2 linked regions of the Alligator mississippiensis genome follow. The protein of the gene in region 1 purifies or fractionates together with the protein of each later gene. This does not show direct contact. Links are inferred from orthologs where the notes say so. Each region holds a gene or a part of one and is shown on either strand. Other genes may lie near its edges.

What was found.
Region 2: the proteins of CEP43 (region 1) and PPP2CB purify together in Homo sapiens (affinity purification with mass spectrometry; 4 studies listed by BioGRID and IntAct, counting the BioPlex papers as one, with this or other methods). This does not show direct contact. The link is inferred for Alligator mississippiensis from reciprocal best matches to the Homo sapiens genes CEP43 and PPP2CB.

What each region holds. Positions count from the first base shown.
Region 1 is NC_081824.1:144,063,312-144,071,303, forward strand, and holds the start of CEP43 (centrosomal protein 43), read left to right. Parts: upstream 1-4,930; 5' UTR 4,931-5,205; coding exon 5,206-5,289; intron 5,290-7,992. UniProt on the Homo sapiens protein: Required for anchoring microtubules to the centrosomes. Required for ciliation.
Region 2 is NC_081825.1:168,614,382-168,621,692, reverse strand, and holds the start of PPP2CB (serine/threonine-protein phosphatase 2A catalytic subunit beta isoform), read left to right. Parts: upstream 1-4,230; 5' UTR 4,231-4,357; coding exon 4,358-4,459; intron 4,460-7,311.

The sequences.
Region 1 (7,992 bases):
AAGGAGATCCAAAGATATCTTTAAAACGATATACTGAAAATATGCATCATGTCCTGAACGGTATTTAAATGTCAGTTGCATTTACAGTTAATGCTTTTATAATGCTTTCTGTTTTCAAGACAACATGCAACTATTAACTAATCAATCTGCATAAAGCTCATAAGATAGATAAAACAGTTTTGGTCATCTACAAAACAACTAAATGTTCCAGGCATAATTTCATCGAAACCACTCAGTTCCCTATCTTTTTTTAGGAATATTTTTGACAAACATGAACATTTTTAGAGTAACCCTTGTCTGTCTCTCTCTCTCTTTTTGAAACAGCTGCAAATATTGACTAAAACTGTATCCAGAACTTAAGTCATCGCCCCCCTCCTTTTGCTGCATGTGTGCTTAGTATAACTTCCAAGGGTGTTGGATAGCATCCTAACAGCTGTCCTCCATTAGCGTTGCCCACAACACACAAGTAATCTTGTAATTACTTTGCCAATTAAGGAGTGTTAGAGTGAAGTTGTAGCGGATGGTCCAGGAATTATATGAAAGGCAATGACTTCTAAGTGTGATATCTTTTATTGGACCAACTGCATAGTTGGGATAGAGTTAGACAAGCATTTGACTGCAAGACATTCTTCTTCTAGTCTAACTCCAGAGTTCGTATTATGGGGTAGCTTGGGCAGGAAGGGGCGGCTGAGTCCCCTCATAAGAGATGAGGAACCTCCCACCACAATAAGAAGCAAGAACCACCAGTCAGCCCTTGGCTAGCCCTGCGCCTTTCTAAGCAGCCCAGGTGGCAGAGGCGGTGGCGGCTCCTTCCAGCTGCCACCACTGCAGACCCCCCCCCCCCCCCCCCGCTAAACAAAGTCTAAGTGTAATTCAAACCCTGTCTAACTCCATCCAAAGGTCTAACTCTATTCAAGTTTAACTCTATCTAAGCTTGCCAACTCTATCCCAACTATGCAGTTGGTCCAATAAAAGATACCATCCTAAGAAATCATGGCCCCTCTAATTAAGGAGAACAGGATTTGGTCTGATGGCATTTGTTAAGTATTGTTCACGTTCAGCTTTGACTATTGGGCTTCCCATTGTTTGGCATGTGCTCCCTGCCCCCAAGCTCTGCAGCTTCCCCACCTAGTGGAGGGAAGGGGAGTGGCAGCAGCACAGCAGTCAAAACAGAGAGAAACTTTTAAGGTGTGATAGTGATTTTTTTTAACACCTGTCTCCCCCATCTCTCAGCCAGACTCCAAAACATGACACTTTTAGAAACTTTGTGAAAGTCTGTTTCATTTTGGTGCCAAATAAATACGTACATAAAAGCAACCAACCCCAAGGCACCCTTCTAGCCAGTAGCCCTACCTGCCACGCTGGACAAAGCAGTGCAGGGGAAGAGGAGGTGTCACAGAGTGAAGTTGCAGATTAAACTTAGAGCAGGCATAAGCAACCCTTGGCATGGATGCCAAAGTGTGGCACGTGAAGGCATTTTGCTTGGCACATGCAGCTCAGGGCAGACAGCAGGGAAGTGGCCAGGCCTGTGCTGCCAAACAAGGATTGGGCCCCTCACAGCTCCCCTGCCACCCACCCCTGGCACTCCAACATTTTACAAATGGAGGTTGTATATTTTTGGCACTCTGCCCAAAAATGTTGCCAGCCCCTGATTTCGACCATATTAAGGACACTTAAAACATGAGTCTACACATTAAAGCTCATTAACTCATGCTAAGTGTCCTCTGAGCATCTCAAAGTGATGCCACTTCAGGCATTAACTCTGGACCACACTACCTAGGGTAACTTCAGCCTGCTCTGCTGAGATAATACGAACAATTTGCAGTCCTCTATCATCCCCAAATGTACCACTTCCAGCACCCCCACCTACCTAGAGCAGGGATAGAGCCCTGATGGGGTAGCCACATCCCTGCTCACCAGCCCTGTAGCCACAAAGTCAGAGCTGTACAGGCAGGAAACAGTATTAACCCTTAACATGCAGCTGCTCGCAGCTTTCTAACTTTAGCATTATTTCACGTCCCACAAATGTAGCACAGTCTAAGACAGGAGTGGGCAAAATCCAGCCTTTGGGCTGGACTGTTCCAGCAGTGGACTCCATTTCCCAGCAGCCCCTGCCTGCATCGCTGTGCCCGGTCTCCATGGAGACCCTAGGAGCTGCGGCACAGTGACCGTGCAGCGCCAGGGTTTCCATGGAGACTGGACCCACTAGTGCTGGCAGAGTGTGCAGCTGGGTGGGGAGCTGCTTTGGGGCTGGGATCTTGCAGTGGTGACAGTGTGGTCCAGAGCTGGGGCAGAGCTGCAATCCACTGCCCACACGCTTCGGGCTGGAGTGTGCAGACAGTGCTGAGCTCCAGACCACACAGTCAGCACTGCAAAATCTCAGCCCCAGCCCCAGAGCAGCTCCCCACCCAGCTGCATGCCCTTCCAGCACTGCTGGGGCTGGGCTCCATGGAAACCCTGGCTGGGCACTGCCAAGGTGCCCCCTCTACTAGGGTCTCCATGGAAAACAGCTGCAGTGACATGGGTAGGGGCTGCTGGGAAATAGAGTCTGGCTGCTGGCAAGATCTGCCATTTTGCTCACCCCTGGTCTAAGGCCTCCTCTACACGTTATACTTCAGGCATGATTAATCACTTAATCATGTCTTAAGATGCAACCCAGCTACACGTTTTCAATTAATGGTGTGATAAAACAAGCAATAAACAAGCTAAAAAATGTGTAATAACTTTATATCTTGTTCTAATCAGACCATTAATTGACCATGTAGCCCCTGTGTCTGGGAGCCCCATCAACCAAGGGGCTCCCAGCCACAGGGGTGCACCACCTGCTACCAAGGCTCGCAGTCAGTGGTGGCAGCATTCCTGGCACTGTCCTTGCCGTGAGCCTCCTCAGCTGCAGGGCTCACAGCGGAGACAACACTGCCCTCCCTGTGTGCCTCATAAGGTGTCTCATTAGAGTCCATAGGGCCTAAACCTGCATGTGTAAAGAGGCCCCAAGGGTAGCGTGTCACTTCACCCACAGATAAACCACCCTTTTTCCCCAGTGGGAAGGCCCAGTGCTTTTCCTCTGCCAACTCAAGGCTGCAGCGCCCTGCTGTGCCTTCAAAGCAAGGCTGGACAGAAACCAGCTGTACAGCTGCGACCCATTTTTTAGGCACAAAGTGTAGAGCCACTTGGCTCTTTTTTCTAGCTGGAAAATCATTTTTATCAGGTGGCAATTACAGCCTAGCTGGTCTCCACTAACCAGTGAATGGCGCAAGCATCACTTTGTCTTGTGCTTGTTTCTAGTTAAGGCAGGGTTCAGCCATTAACTTAGCCTTGCCAGGTCTTAAGTATAAAATTATCCTATTGGAAGCTCAAAATTATCTTATTTGCTGAAAAACTACCGTACACTGAAAAATACGTAAATAAGGATGCAAATCAGTCTTCTTGTTTACTTTATATTGTTCACTGTAACTTGCCAGTGACTGAGTGCGAACTTGAAGCATTGCTTTATTTTGAGGCAAGCATCATAAGAAAGTGCAGAGAGCAAACCCAAAAATGAGGCAGCACTGTACATCTGTCTGAACAGCAGGGGCCCTCGACAACCCGTTTCAACCAGTTTGTGTCCTGCAGCAAAGTACAGACACACCGAAACAGACTGTGTTAAAATGTTTCTGAGCAAACATCAGTCCTACTACCAGAAAACAGTGGGAGAGGATGGAGAAGACACAGCTAACTCCACCTGGAAAAGAGATGCTTGGCACAACCTGTTCAAAGACCCCCCTGGGAAGGGAAGAGGACAGAAAGAAAAGGACAATGACACAACTGGACCCCAGGACAGTGAGGAAGACAGCAACAGGTTCAGCAGCAGCAGTGACAGTGATATCAACAGAGACAAGGATAGGGAATGACTGAGAATGTAAACCTAAATCGGGGCTTGGACTACAGGACTGCGATTGGGTTAGGGAAGGGCAGCGGGTGGGTGTGGGCAGAGCTGGTCCAACCATTAGGCAAACTAGGCGGTCACCTAGGGTACCAAAATTTGAGGGAGCACCAAAATATATCCAGAACAAAATAACAGGAACATCATTCTAAATAGCAGCTCTGGCTAGCTACAGCTCCACCTTGGTCTAAGACCTGTGGCTCGGTAAGGGGATAAAGCCCTCTGAAAAGATCTCAGAGGTAAAAGTTCATTTTAGACTTCTTATTTTCCTCTATATTGGAAGTGGGGGGGCACTGAGGTGCACAATTACCCTTGGCCCGGCCTTGGGTGCGGGGGGGTACAGGATCATTTGTTGTGATGGGTACACTGCTTCTTAATGTGGTTTAAAGTGTGTGATGGAAAGTTTTATGCTAGATGATGTATATATATCTATATATATTTATGTCAATATAGCTATGATATAAATATATATAGCTATGTATATATCTCTATATCAATATAGCTATACGATATAGATATATCCATATATAGATGTAGATTTCCACCCCCCCCAAAAAAGAGCAAACCCAAAAGTCGGTCAAGACTCCTGGAGAGTGATTTGGGTTTTGCATTTGCTGCATCAGTGAGCTGCCTCAAAAATTATCGTACATTTTTCAGGGGGAAAAGGACAATTTTCTTGCCATTTTCCAGTTGGTCTAATAAAAGGTATCATTTTGGAGCCAAGACCTCTAGTTTGTACACTTTTACTATTAACCAGCCTACCTGAGCGCGTTGAAACTCTGATAACGATGATAATGACAGTCCGCCTGGCAACATCACTACCAATGAACTGCCTGACATACGTAATCCCGCTCCGCCCCCAGCTGGGAGCGATTGGCTGGGGCTGGACGGGGGGCGTGGCTCAGCGTCCTCCCTTCCCCTCCCGTTCTGCGCTCTGTAACTGAAGCTCTGGCTAACTGCTGGATGGTTAGGAGCGCGCGTCACGCGGCAAGTTCTAGGGGGCGGGACCTCGCAGCCAGCCCCGCCCCCTGTCTTCAAACCTCCCGCCTCATGGCGTCAAGCTAGCGCTGCGCATTCGCATCTACACTTTCAGTCCCGTCCGGTCCCTGCGGTGGGGCTCATCCTCCTCTTCAGGCGGCTGGGCCATGCGGTAGCCGGGCCGCCAGCTTTACGATCCGCAACCGCGGCTGCCCCTGCAGTCCCCCGCCTCCCTGGCCCGTAGCGAATGTGCGGGGCCGACGCGGCCGCTAGCGCGGTTTGGGCGGTTGTCAGGGAGAAACAAGATGGCGGCGGCGGAGGAGGACACGGAGCTGCGGGACCTGCTGGTGCAGACGCTGGAGAGCAGCGGGGTGCTCAACAAGATCAAGGTGCGCGGCGGGGGGCATGGAGCCGACGGGTCTCGCGGCGGGAACAGAGCCTGGCCCAGCGGCACCGGCGCGGCTCAGCCCGGGCCTGCGACCGCCCGGTCCGCGCAGGGGGCTGCGGGGGCCCCGGTCCTGGCACAACCGGAGAGGCGTCTAGTAGGGGCGGGTTGGGAAGGGTCGCGCTGAGTTAGCCCCAAATCCGAGCCGTCCCTTTCTAGCCCGACCCAGAGAGCAGCGTTGCCAGGTCTTAAATAGGAAATTATGGTCTTGGAAGGTCACGATTCTCGCATTTGCGGAGAAACTATCATGTGCTGAAAAACAAATGCAAGTAAGTATGCAGATAAGCCACTTTCTTATTGACTTTATGTTGTTTGTTGTGAGCCACCGAGCACTGGGTCATCAAAATTTAGGTGTTTCCTTATTTTGAGGTGAGCAGTCATAACGTGCTTAACGTAGACCCAAAACCTCCCACTTAGCTGCTGGAGTAGGAAGGTCTTGGCTTTAAGCCTGCTTTATGGAAATGGGAGACTTCTCCCTGGCTTGCCCCAGGGGCTTTACGGCTGAGGGCAAGCAAAACTCAGGGGGATCCGAATAAGTAGGATGCCCACTAAAGATTTTTGGAAACATCTGAAGCCCCAGATGGGGTTGCAGGATGCTTGGTAGTAGTAAGGCAACTTACGGTTCTGGACTAATTCTCAGATTTGGAATTTGTTTTGACTAATTTGGCTTGGACTACAGAAAATTAAACAAAAAAACCAAAACCTCATAAGTCAGTTAAGAAACCCTGAATGTTACCTGGGTTTTGTATACGCTGCATCAGTGAGCTGCCTCAACAATTATCATACACTTTGAACACTTACTGTTATTGATCCTACATTGTACATGGGTTGTAATTGTACAGATACGATAATTATTATACACTTGGCAACACTGACAAAGAGCTGTTCTGCAGCCCAGCTCGGGACCTTGCATCGCCAAATGAGCTGGGGCTGAGTTGTCAGTGAGGGGATTTATTCAGAGCTGTGATCTCTTCCCCTCCCCGGGGTGCCACCAGGTCTGCTGGGACAGCCCTGCCAGCACAAGGCACAGGGTGAATCCAGAGGCTTCCTCCCCCCACCCCTGGTAAAAATGTCCTGCCCTGTTGTGGGTTCCCTGTGGTGCAAGAACTGCCCTGTCATTTCTCTGCAGTCAGAACAAGTGGTGTTTTTCTGATGGGGGAGGGGGAGGCCTGAAGTGTGTTGAGAGCTGCTGATTTGGAGGAAGGTGGACAGCTAGCAAAAGCTCAAGTTGACAAGCATGTTGGAACAAGGGGGAGTTGTTGGTTTGGAAGAGCAGTGGCAGGCTGTGCTGTGTGCCATGCTGCTAAGCAGAAGTCACCTGTTGATGCTTTGCTGCCTCTACCACTTCACATAACAGTTGCGTCCTCAGCTTCATTTCTTGCATCATATTGGTAGGTGAAAAGCACAGTTTGTAGATCCTATATAAGTAATATTGATTATAGTGAAGTTACTGAAGTCCGGCTGCTGCCTCTATTGGGTTTCCTGTGCTTTCTTTCCTTGTGCTTAATTCAAATGTGCAATGTGCTTCAACACGGAAAACTTGCTATAACCAATACAGCACAATTAAGGATTCCTTGGCTGACCACAAATTAATGAAACTTTCATAGAAATATATAGTGTATACTACTGCCTGAATTATTTCTTGTACTTGCAAGGCCTCCTGCACCTACTTCATGAGAACATGAGATTGATTTGTCATGCTGCAGCAGACCAAATGCCTTTGTGCATATCCAGACAAGGTTCCTTGGGTGAATTTGATATCTTTTATTAGATCAACCCACTTTGTGCATATCCTGCCTTTGACAGTGGGAGGTAACTTCTGCCCATAGTTTTCTTGCTCCCAATCAATTGACGTACAGCTTTTCAGTGGCCAGCTAACCAGTAACCATAATCTGAATTGGGAGTAAGCTCAATCTTTTGGTAGTTCTGGTGAAGCAATATTGCTTCTCTTGGTCTCTGACAGATTTTGGTAAACCTTTGTTTTTAAGAACTGTTCAAAAGCAACCCGGTCACTTAAAACCCAAACTTGAAATGGAAGCTGGCTTAATGGGTATAAGGAGAAAGAATACTTTTCTTTCCTGCCAAATGTCAAACAGTGATGCTCATTATATTATTTTCTGTAGTTTTAGTACATATTAATAGCTTTTATTATGGTGCCAAAGTTGAGAGAGAAAGTTATGCTTTGACAGTTGTTGTTTATGTACTGCCAGATGAAATGCAAACTAGTTTCTAGGAACTGGTGAAGGTAAAAACTAGGAAGCAAGTCCTAGAAGGATATCTGTTTAGTGTTGTTTAGAGGTTGATAAGAATAAATACGTAAGAAGATTATCTGGATATAGGTGTGATCTAGCTAAAGTAGACAATGTGAAATTGTCAAGAAGAAAAATATGGAAGGACTGAAAAATAGAACAAAGAGCAGTAGGTAGGACCCGTAACAGGCCTCCAGTAATGCAGCTGAGGGAAATACAGGGCACTTGGGGTCATTGCTGGTCTGCTACAGTGACTTGTGGTGATTAAGTGAAATCTTAGTCCTACCATAGACTAAATGAGGTGGTAATAATCATTAGTGGTTTGGAAACTAGTTTTTTTTGTGCCAAAGTACCCAGCATAGCTATAGATTATTGAACCAGAACATGCAAAGTTTCAA
Region 2 (7,311 bases), on another chromosome or scaffold:
TATGACATGTCAGTGTGATGCAGCTGTGAAAAAGACAAATGTAACTTTGTAGATGTATCAGGAGGAATATTCTAGGAGAGAGAGAAAAGTGTTAACACTTATACAAAGCACTAGTAAGGCCTCATCTGGTATAATGTGTGTATTTCCAGAAAGATGCAGGCAAACTACCAAGTGCAAAGAATGGTTACTAGAATGATCAAGGGAATGAAGGAACTAATATGACAGAAGACCAGAAGAGCTTGACTTCCCTTCAGTGAAGCAAAGGCTGAGAGAGTACGATTGTTGTCTATAAATGCATCTGGTTGGACATCAGGGAGAAAGAAGAACTATTTAAGCTAGCCAACTATGCTAGAATAAAAATAAGTAGTTAAAAATAGCTATAAATAAATTTAGGCTGGAATAAAAACAAGTTTCCTTACCATTAGAGCAGTAAGATTCTGAAACAAATTTCCAATGGGTATAGTGGGGGGCAAAGGAAAATATCTACTTTAAAGATGGAGCTTAGTATGTTTATGAAGGGGATAATCATAGAGGGAGAAAAAATTATTTGGAGGACGGGGAGGGCTGAGCATGTGTGCAGACCATGGGGGAGCAGATTGAAGCCCCAGTGGTGAGGGAGGGAGTGGGGCAGAGGCTGGGATGAATGGGGCCCCAGTGGGGTTGGGTGGTGGGACAATCGGAACTTGGGCTGCTCGTCCAGGGGCGCAAGCGGGATCCTGTCATTGTGTGCACCTTGGTGCAGGCCCAGGTGGCATGTGCCCCCTCATCTATGTGCGGGGCAGAGGCAGCTGCCACTGAGTGCTGGGCTTTGCTCCTTGCTGCAGCTGCACTGGGAACAATGCGACACCATGTGCATCCACCCATGTCCCTGGATGTGCCGCCAGGCTCTGATTGTCCCACGACCCAGCCTGGCCAGGGCCCCATTCACCCCACCCCCTGTCCCTGCTCTACTCCCTCCCACACTGATCTGTTCGCCCCCCCCAACTCCTTCCCCTTCACAAAGGAAGTAGGCTGAAACTTGCCTGCTGTGCTGGGCAGCCACACACTGGGGCTGCGATCCTAGCTGCATATCTGAGTGTGCACATCCCTCTCCTCTCTGCTGCAGCAGCCCAGAGCCTGCATCTGGGCTGCCCTGAAGCCCTACCTGCTGCCTTGCGTTTGAGGGGGCTAAGCCCTATTAGCTCTGGCCTTCTACCACCTATGGAGATAATGTGAGAGGGCCTTGCAATGGCTGTGGGTTACACTCGGTGACACATGTCCTTTCAAGCACTATGTTTCCTAAAACAAGGGAGGAGGGAGTTGTGTGTATAAATGGTAGAGCACCTGTGGATGGAGGCCTTCTGACACACACACATGGATTCTGTCAACTACACCTTTGAGATGCTCTGAGGTACTCTTATACCTTCAGGTGTCTCCTTCAGCTCCAAACCCCTCTCTGGCATCTGCTGCTTGACTACTGGGACCACCCAAGGGTGCCTTAACTTTACCAATCTCACCCAGGTCCTATTAGCTCTTGGCTGAGGAAGTTTTGCCAGCTTAAGAATCATACTTATTATCTAGCATGTGCTTAGAAAATACTGACCCTCTCCTTTGGAGAAAAGACCTACCTGTTTGCTCAAATGCTCTGAACTCATAGTTACCACACAGACGGTAAGTTATAAAAGATAACAAAAAGATTTATTAGAAAAACAAATGAAAACAGAAGAATCAGTAACTGTATGCTGCATACAGACAGAGATATGAAAATAAACCAATAACTAAGATCTCTGATTTATTCTTTTCTCTGCATCTTAGCCCCTCCAGCTTCTACTTATGACCAAGCCAAAGTCTCTGCTAATCTGTGAGCTCATGTTGCCTAGCCCTAGGTCATGTTGGCCACAGGAGGGACCAGAGCACCCAATGCCTGAGAAACTTTAGTTGCCATGGCAACTCTTAAATACTTGTCCTTATCAGATGGTTTACACTTCTCTACTGAATTTTCAGGAAACATATATTGTGCATACAACTTCCTGCTTCTGGGTATCTGACTGGCAGGTTGGGTGTGATTCCTGATCTAACTATAACAAGGAAATACCAGATATGAAGACTGCTAATTCCATATCCTTGGTTTTCAATTACCTTAGTACATTATAAACTTTGTCTTATTCTCCCTACTGTGAGAAATACAAATCTTCCTATTAGATTGTTTTTAGGTGTTACCTTGGCTACTCTTCCCTTTAAAATGTCAGTTCATCTTTGGAATGGCCAGACGCAAGTGTCTGGGATTAGTCCACAAAGGCCTATCCGGCCAATGATTAAGCTTAGCCAACTCTGATGCAAATTCTTAGTCAACCCTTCCTAAGTAATACTATAAAAATATAAGAATACATTCATATCAAATACCATAATTCATACAAACATATGAATGACAAAAGCCAGGTACAGCTTCTCTCAAGTTATCTGTACATGCCATAAAGCAAATCTAATTCAGGAAAACATGCATGACGTTCCATGAACATTGGGGGTTTGTGACAGAGCTTAAATAGTTGCATTAGTATTGGGGTCTGTAGTGAGGATGCATGTATAAGAAATGGGGGGAGGAAAAATGCGTGTTATGGTTGGTGATGTACCTTGGGAGGAGAAATGGGCTGTGGAGCACACTTAGAGAAGAAAACTGACTTAGTGTAAAGGGATGTGTGGTGAGGCTATAGTTTAGGACAGAGTTGTCCAATTGGTAGCCCATGGGCTCTAACCAAGGCACAGCTCCCCCATCACTCCTGCTGCTGCTTCCGCTGCTACCACAGCTATGGCTATTGGGGGTCTCGGGGCTCCCCTCCAGCTTCTACTTCCTGCCACTTCCTCTAAACCTGGGAACTGGGCAGGGCAGCCTGCTGGGCCCACACAGTTGGGGGGCCTGGAGAGTCTGTACAGCATGAAGTCCTAAGCCACTCAGAAGTTGGACAGCCCTAGTTTGGGCATGGGGCTGTGGGTGGCAGAGAGGTGCATTGGTGTGTTTAGAGCAAGGGTGGCCAAAATTCAGACCACAGGTCAAATCCAGCCTGCCAAGGGATTTTGTCTGGCTCATGGCAGGTCTTTCAGCCCCTCCTGATCCAGGTGTGGGAGGAAGACTGGGCCATGGCTTATGTGGCCAGTTCTGCTGCCCCTGGGTGCACCGCAGGGCTGGGGCAGCACAGCAGCTGGACTCACTTCCCAGCAGCCCCTGCAGCAGCTGGATGCAGGTGGGGTCTCCACGGAAACCAGCCCGGACCTGTGTGGGCAGGGCAGGCTGCTGAGTGCATGTGATGGGGCTGCTGCCAGGCAGGGAGCATCCAGAACCAGGACCATAGGGTGCTCGCAGTGCAGGGGCAGAGCCAAGGGCAGAGCCACAAGCCACTGCCTGCATGTCCCTGCGATGGGGTCCCTGCGGTTCCCCAGGCAGAGGCATGCAGGGAGCAGATTACAGCTCTGCCCCAGGCCTGGGCCCTGACCCCGTGCTGCCGTGGCCCTGCAGTCCTGATCCCAGCCCCAGCCCTGCCCCCAGCCCGTCCTCCTCCCAGATGCTGTTCCCCACAGGGCAGCAGCCCCAGCCCATCTGCCCAGCCATGTGCCCTGTCTGCACGGGTCCTGGCCAGTCTCCATGGAGACCCTGGGCATGACAATGTGGGGCCAGGCCTGGGGCAGAGCCACGATCGGCAATCCGCTCCCCACATGCCCCTGCCCAGGGAACGGGTGCCCATGGTAGCGGTATGCAAGGAGCGGTCCCGGCTCTGCCGGGGGCCCTGGCCCCACACTGCCATCGCCCACCCATCGTGCTCCTGCTGGCTGCCGCTCCCTGCCTGCTTGCGGCCTGAACGCGGGGCAGAGCACTTAGGAAGCTTCGGTGAGCTGTGGCCGCGGGAGGGGGTGCCCACCAAAACTCCCAAAGAGGTCCTCCAGCCCAAATAATTGCCCACCACGGTGTGTTTAGAAGAGTCGTGGTGCGGGCGGAAGGGGCAGTAGGGCCCTTGATGGGTGCAGCGTGACATGAAGGGAAGGAGAGGTGCGGGGTCAGCTCTGCAGGTGGCAAAAGGACGACCGGTAGAGACCGCGGCCCAAGGTACAGCTGAGCCATTGCCCTGCGGGCTCCCTGGGCACAGGACGGGTCGGAGCGCGCGCATGCGCTTACGGAAGCGGCCTCTATCTCCTGCGCCGCCGCGGGCGGGCCGGAAAGTGCGCCGCGCCGGGCGGAGGAGGGGCCGGAAGTGCGCAGCGCGGCGGCAGCCATTACGCGGCGCGGGCCGAGACCGGGTGCGGAGCGGGCTTCGTGCCGCCGTCGTTGGCCGTGAGCGTTGGCTAGGCCTGGGCCGCGCGGGAGCCCGCGGCGGGCAGCGCCGCCGCCATGGAGGAGAAGGGCTTCGCCAAGGAGCTGGACCAGTGGATCGAGCAGCTCAATGAGTGCAAGCAGCTGAGCGAGAGCCAGGTCCGCAGCCTCTGCGAGAAGGTGAGTGCGGCCTTGCCCCGCCCCGACACTCCGCGCCGCTGCCGTTGGATCTGCGCGCCTGTGGGCCGGGTTCCCCCGCCGCTGCAGCGGGAGATCCGCGCTTCCTTCCCGGCCGGGGCAGCAGCACCCCCAGCCGCCAGCGCCGCGTCACCCCGCTGGAAGGGCATTCCCGCCCGAGCCGGCGGGGGCTGAGGGAGAAGCGCAGAGAGCCGCGGTCCGGCTTTGAGGGGCCGGGTACAGACGCGCGGTGCCCGGAGAAACAAGCTCAGGTGAGGACTGGATCCTGCCCTCGTCCCGATGCAAAAAACCCTCTAAACTCAGACATTCAGCACTGTGGCTCCACATCATGGCACGTCTCTTTCGCCTTGCCTGCTGTGTGGGTATGTCAGGATAGGGAGGCTCTTCTCCAGGTCCTCTGTGTGCGTTTCTCCCTGTGTCGCAGAAGGGGAGGCCAAGGCAAAGTGACATAGGTTAGCCAGCAGCTGAGCTGAGACTAGTCTCCAGGTCGTGTGAATGCAAGTCAGGTTCTGTCTACAGCACAGTGTTGCTCAAAAGAAATCAAAGAAACTTTTGCTAGGCAAGAGCCCAACTAAGGTACCCAAATGTCCTTAACTCTGTCAATGATACAGTGCGCTTGAGGTATTTAGAGGTCTGTGGCATAACATTTGCATAGAATTCATTTGTAGACATGTTTGTGCTGTCTTATACCCTCTGTTTATCACAGGCTACGTTGGAAAGCTGAGGCTGTTTGAGTACCCCAACTACCTTTTTAGTATCCTGTAGAGAAGAATGGGGGGTGCTTATTTCTGGGTCTCTCTGCCCTGGTTATTCAGGCCCTTCCAATGCTCCTGTGGTAGTCTGCATTGGAATCAACTCGGTAGTCCAAGCCAGCAGCCAGTAGTGAAACCTTTTAAAAGTCAGAGCTAAACGATCTTATGTGTGTCATTTTGGGGGGTTTTTAGGAAAGTTAAAACCAACAGAATTATTGCATACAACTGGCTATAAAGGAAAAATAGTTATGAGTTATCTTTTGTCACAATTGCTCTGTTGAAGGTTTAGGTGAATTAGTGTCAAAAGACCCTGTTTATGGCTTGTAAATCTTAGTAATTATGTACAATTGCTAATAGTTTAATTTTAATTTGTTGAGATATGCCTTATGCATGGGGCTTTTTAATTAATTAACCTTTTATATGGAAAGTTGATGGCTTGTTCTGTCAAAATTCATCTCCTCAAAGGTTACTGCCATAAGTGCCAAATTTCTTAAACCATTTACTTTTATTTAAATTGTATTGTGAGCAAAGCTTCAGAAAAATTATTTTGTCCTTGCGGTAAGCTTGAGCATGATATGATTTTTTTTTTTCTCCATAAGTAAGGTTTTGAATACCTGCTCAAAGTACAAAGAAAAATACTTGTGGTAATTAGGTTTCTTTAAACTTATCTTAATTTGTATATAACATTTACTTAAACTTTGAAAAATGTTTAATTACTATACTTTTATTTCTTTTCAGTTAATGGTGTTGACTAGTTCTCCCCACCAGGTCTATTGTCCTAAGACTGTGGTAGCCAACTAATGTTTAGTCTTGTAACTTAAAGCTAGGTAGATAAGGAATTTTTAATTGGATGATGACTAAGCCAAGTGAACAAAGTTCACATATAATTCAGGGGGAAATAACTTATAATTGTTAGAGTATTTCATCAACTTTTTTGGTCACCTCAACAGGGGTTGCAAACAGCCCATAGCATAATTTGACTATAATTTCTAGTTGAGGCTTGTAGTTACCTGCAAGACAAAATACTAATGAATAAATATTGGATGCTATAAAACTGCTTCCTGTGCTAGTTATGAAAAACAGGCTGAACTTTGGAGGCTTGTCTATCACTGGTGATATAAGAATCTTCCTTGGCATGGTAATAGTTATGGGGACAGAATTCTATTTCTGTGGTACCTTTAATTGTCTCTGTCTCTATGTGTCTCATGCAAGCAACTTTTGAGCCAACTGCTTAGACTTTCATGCCCTCACCTGTGGGGATATAGGATAGTATGACTCCAGTTGCCTTTAATTCTCTTTTATCCAAGTCGGTGATGGGGACTTAGTAATGTCCACTATGCTCGTTGACCTCACAAAATAGCTTTTAAATTCCATTTTAGTTCTTAACGTACTTCATAAATTGATATAGGTCTGTGAACAAATCTTAAGATTGGCAGTCTTTTGTGCCTGCAAACCAGTAATTAGGCAGTAGACATTCTTCATACTGGAATGAAATTTAATGGACGTAGAAACAAACATTTGTGGCAAAAGTAGGAACAACAAAAGGATGGAGTTCAATACTGACAAATGCAAGATGCTACATGTAGGGAAGAATAATCAAAAGCACAAATACAGAATGGGTGATAACTGGCTTGATGGTAGCCCTGGAAAGAGTAGGTTTTTTTGGCCCTGGTGGGTTACAGACTTGGTACGAGTCAGGATGTCACGCACTACAAAAAAATGCAATTTGGCTTGCAGCAACAGAAATATAGGGTGTAAGAAGGATGATAGTGCTACTCTATCTGGCACTGGTTAGGCCTCACCTAGAATGTACAGTTTTGGGCTCCACATTTTTAAAAAGGATATGTAGAAGGAAGGGTGGTGGGCAATAAAATGATAAATGGTTTGGAAGACAAGGTATACAAGGAAAGGTTGAGAGAACTAGGCATCTTTAACTTGCAGCAAAGGTGATTAAGGTGGGAGACATAGTCTTCAAATACCTTGAGTGCTGTTATAAAGAGGGAAAATACTTTTCTTACTTCATTACAATAACTTGAATTGCTGCAATTTTGAGTTTTGGTTGGCTGTGAGAAAAAAAATTTT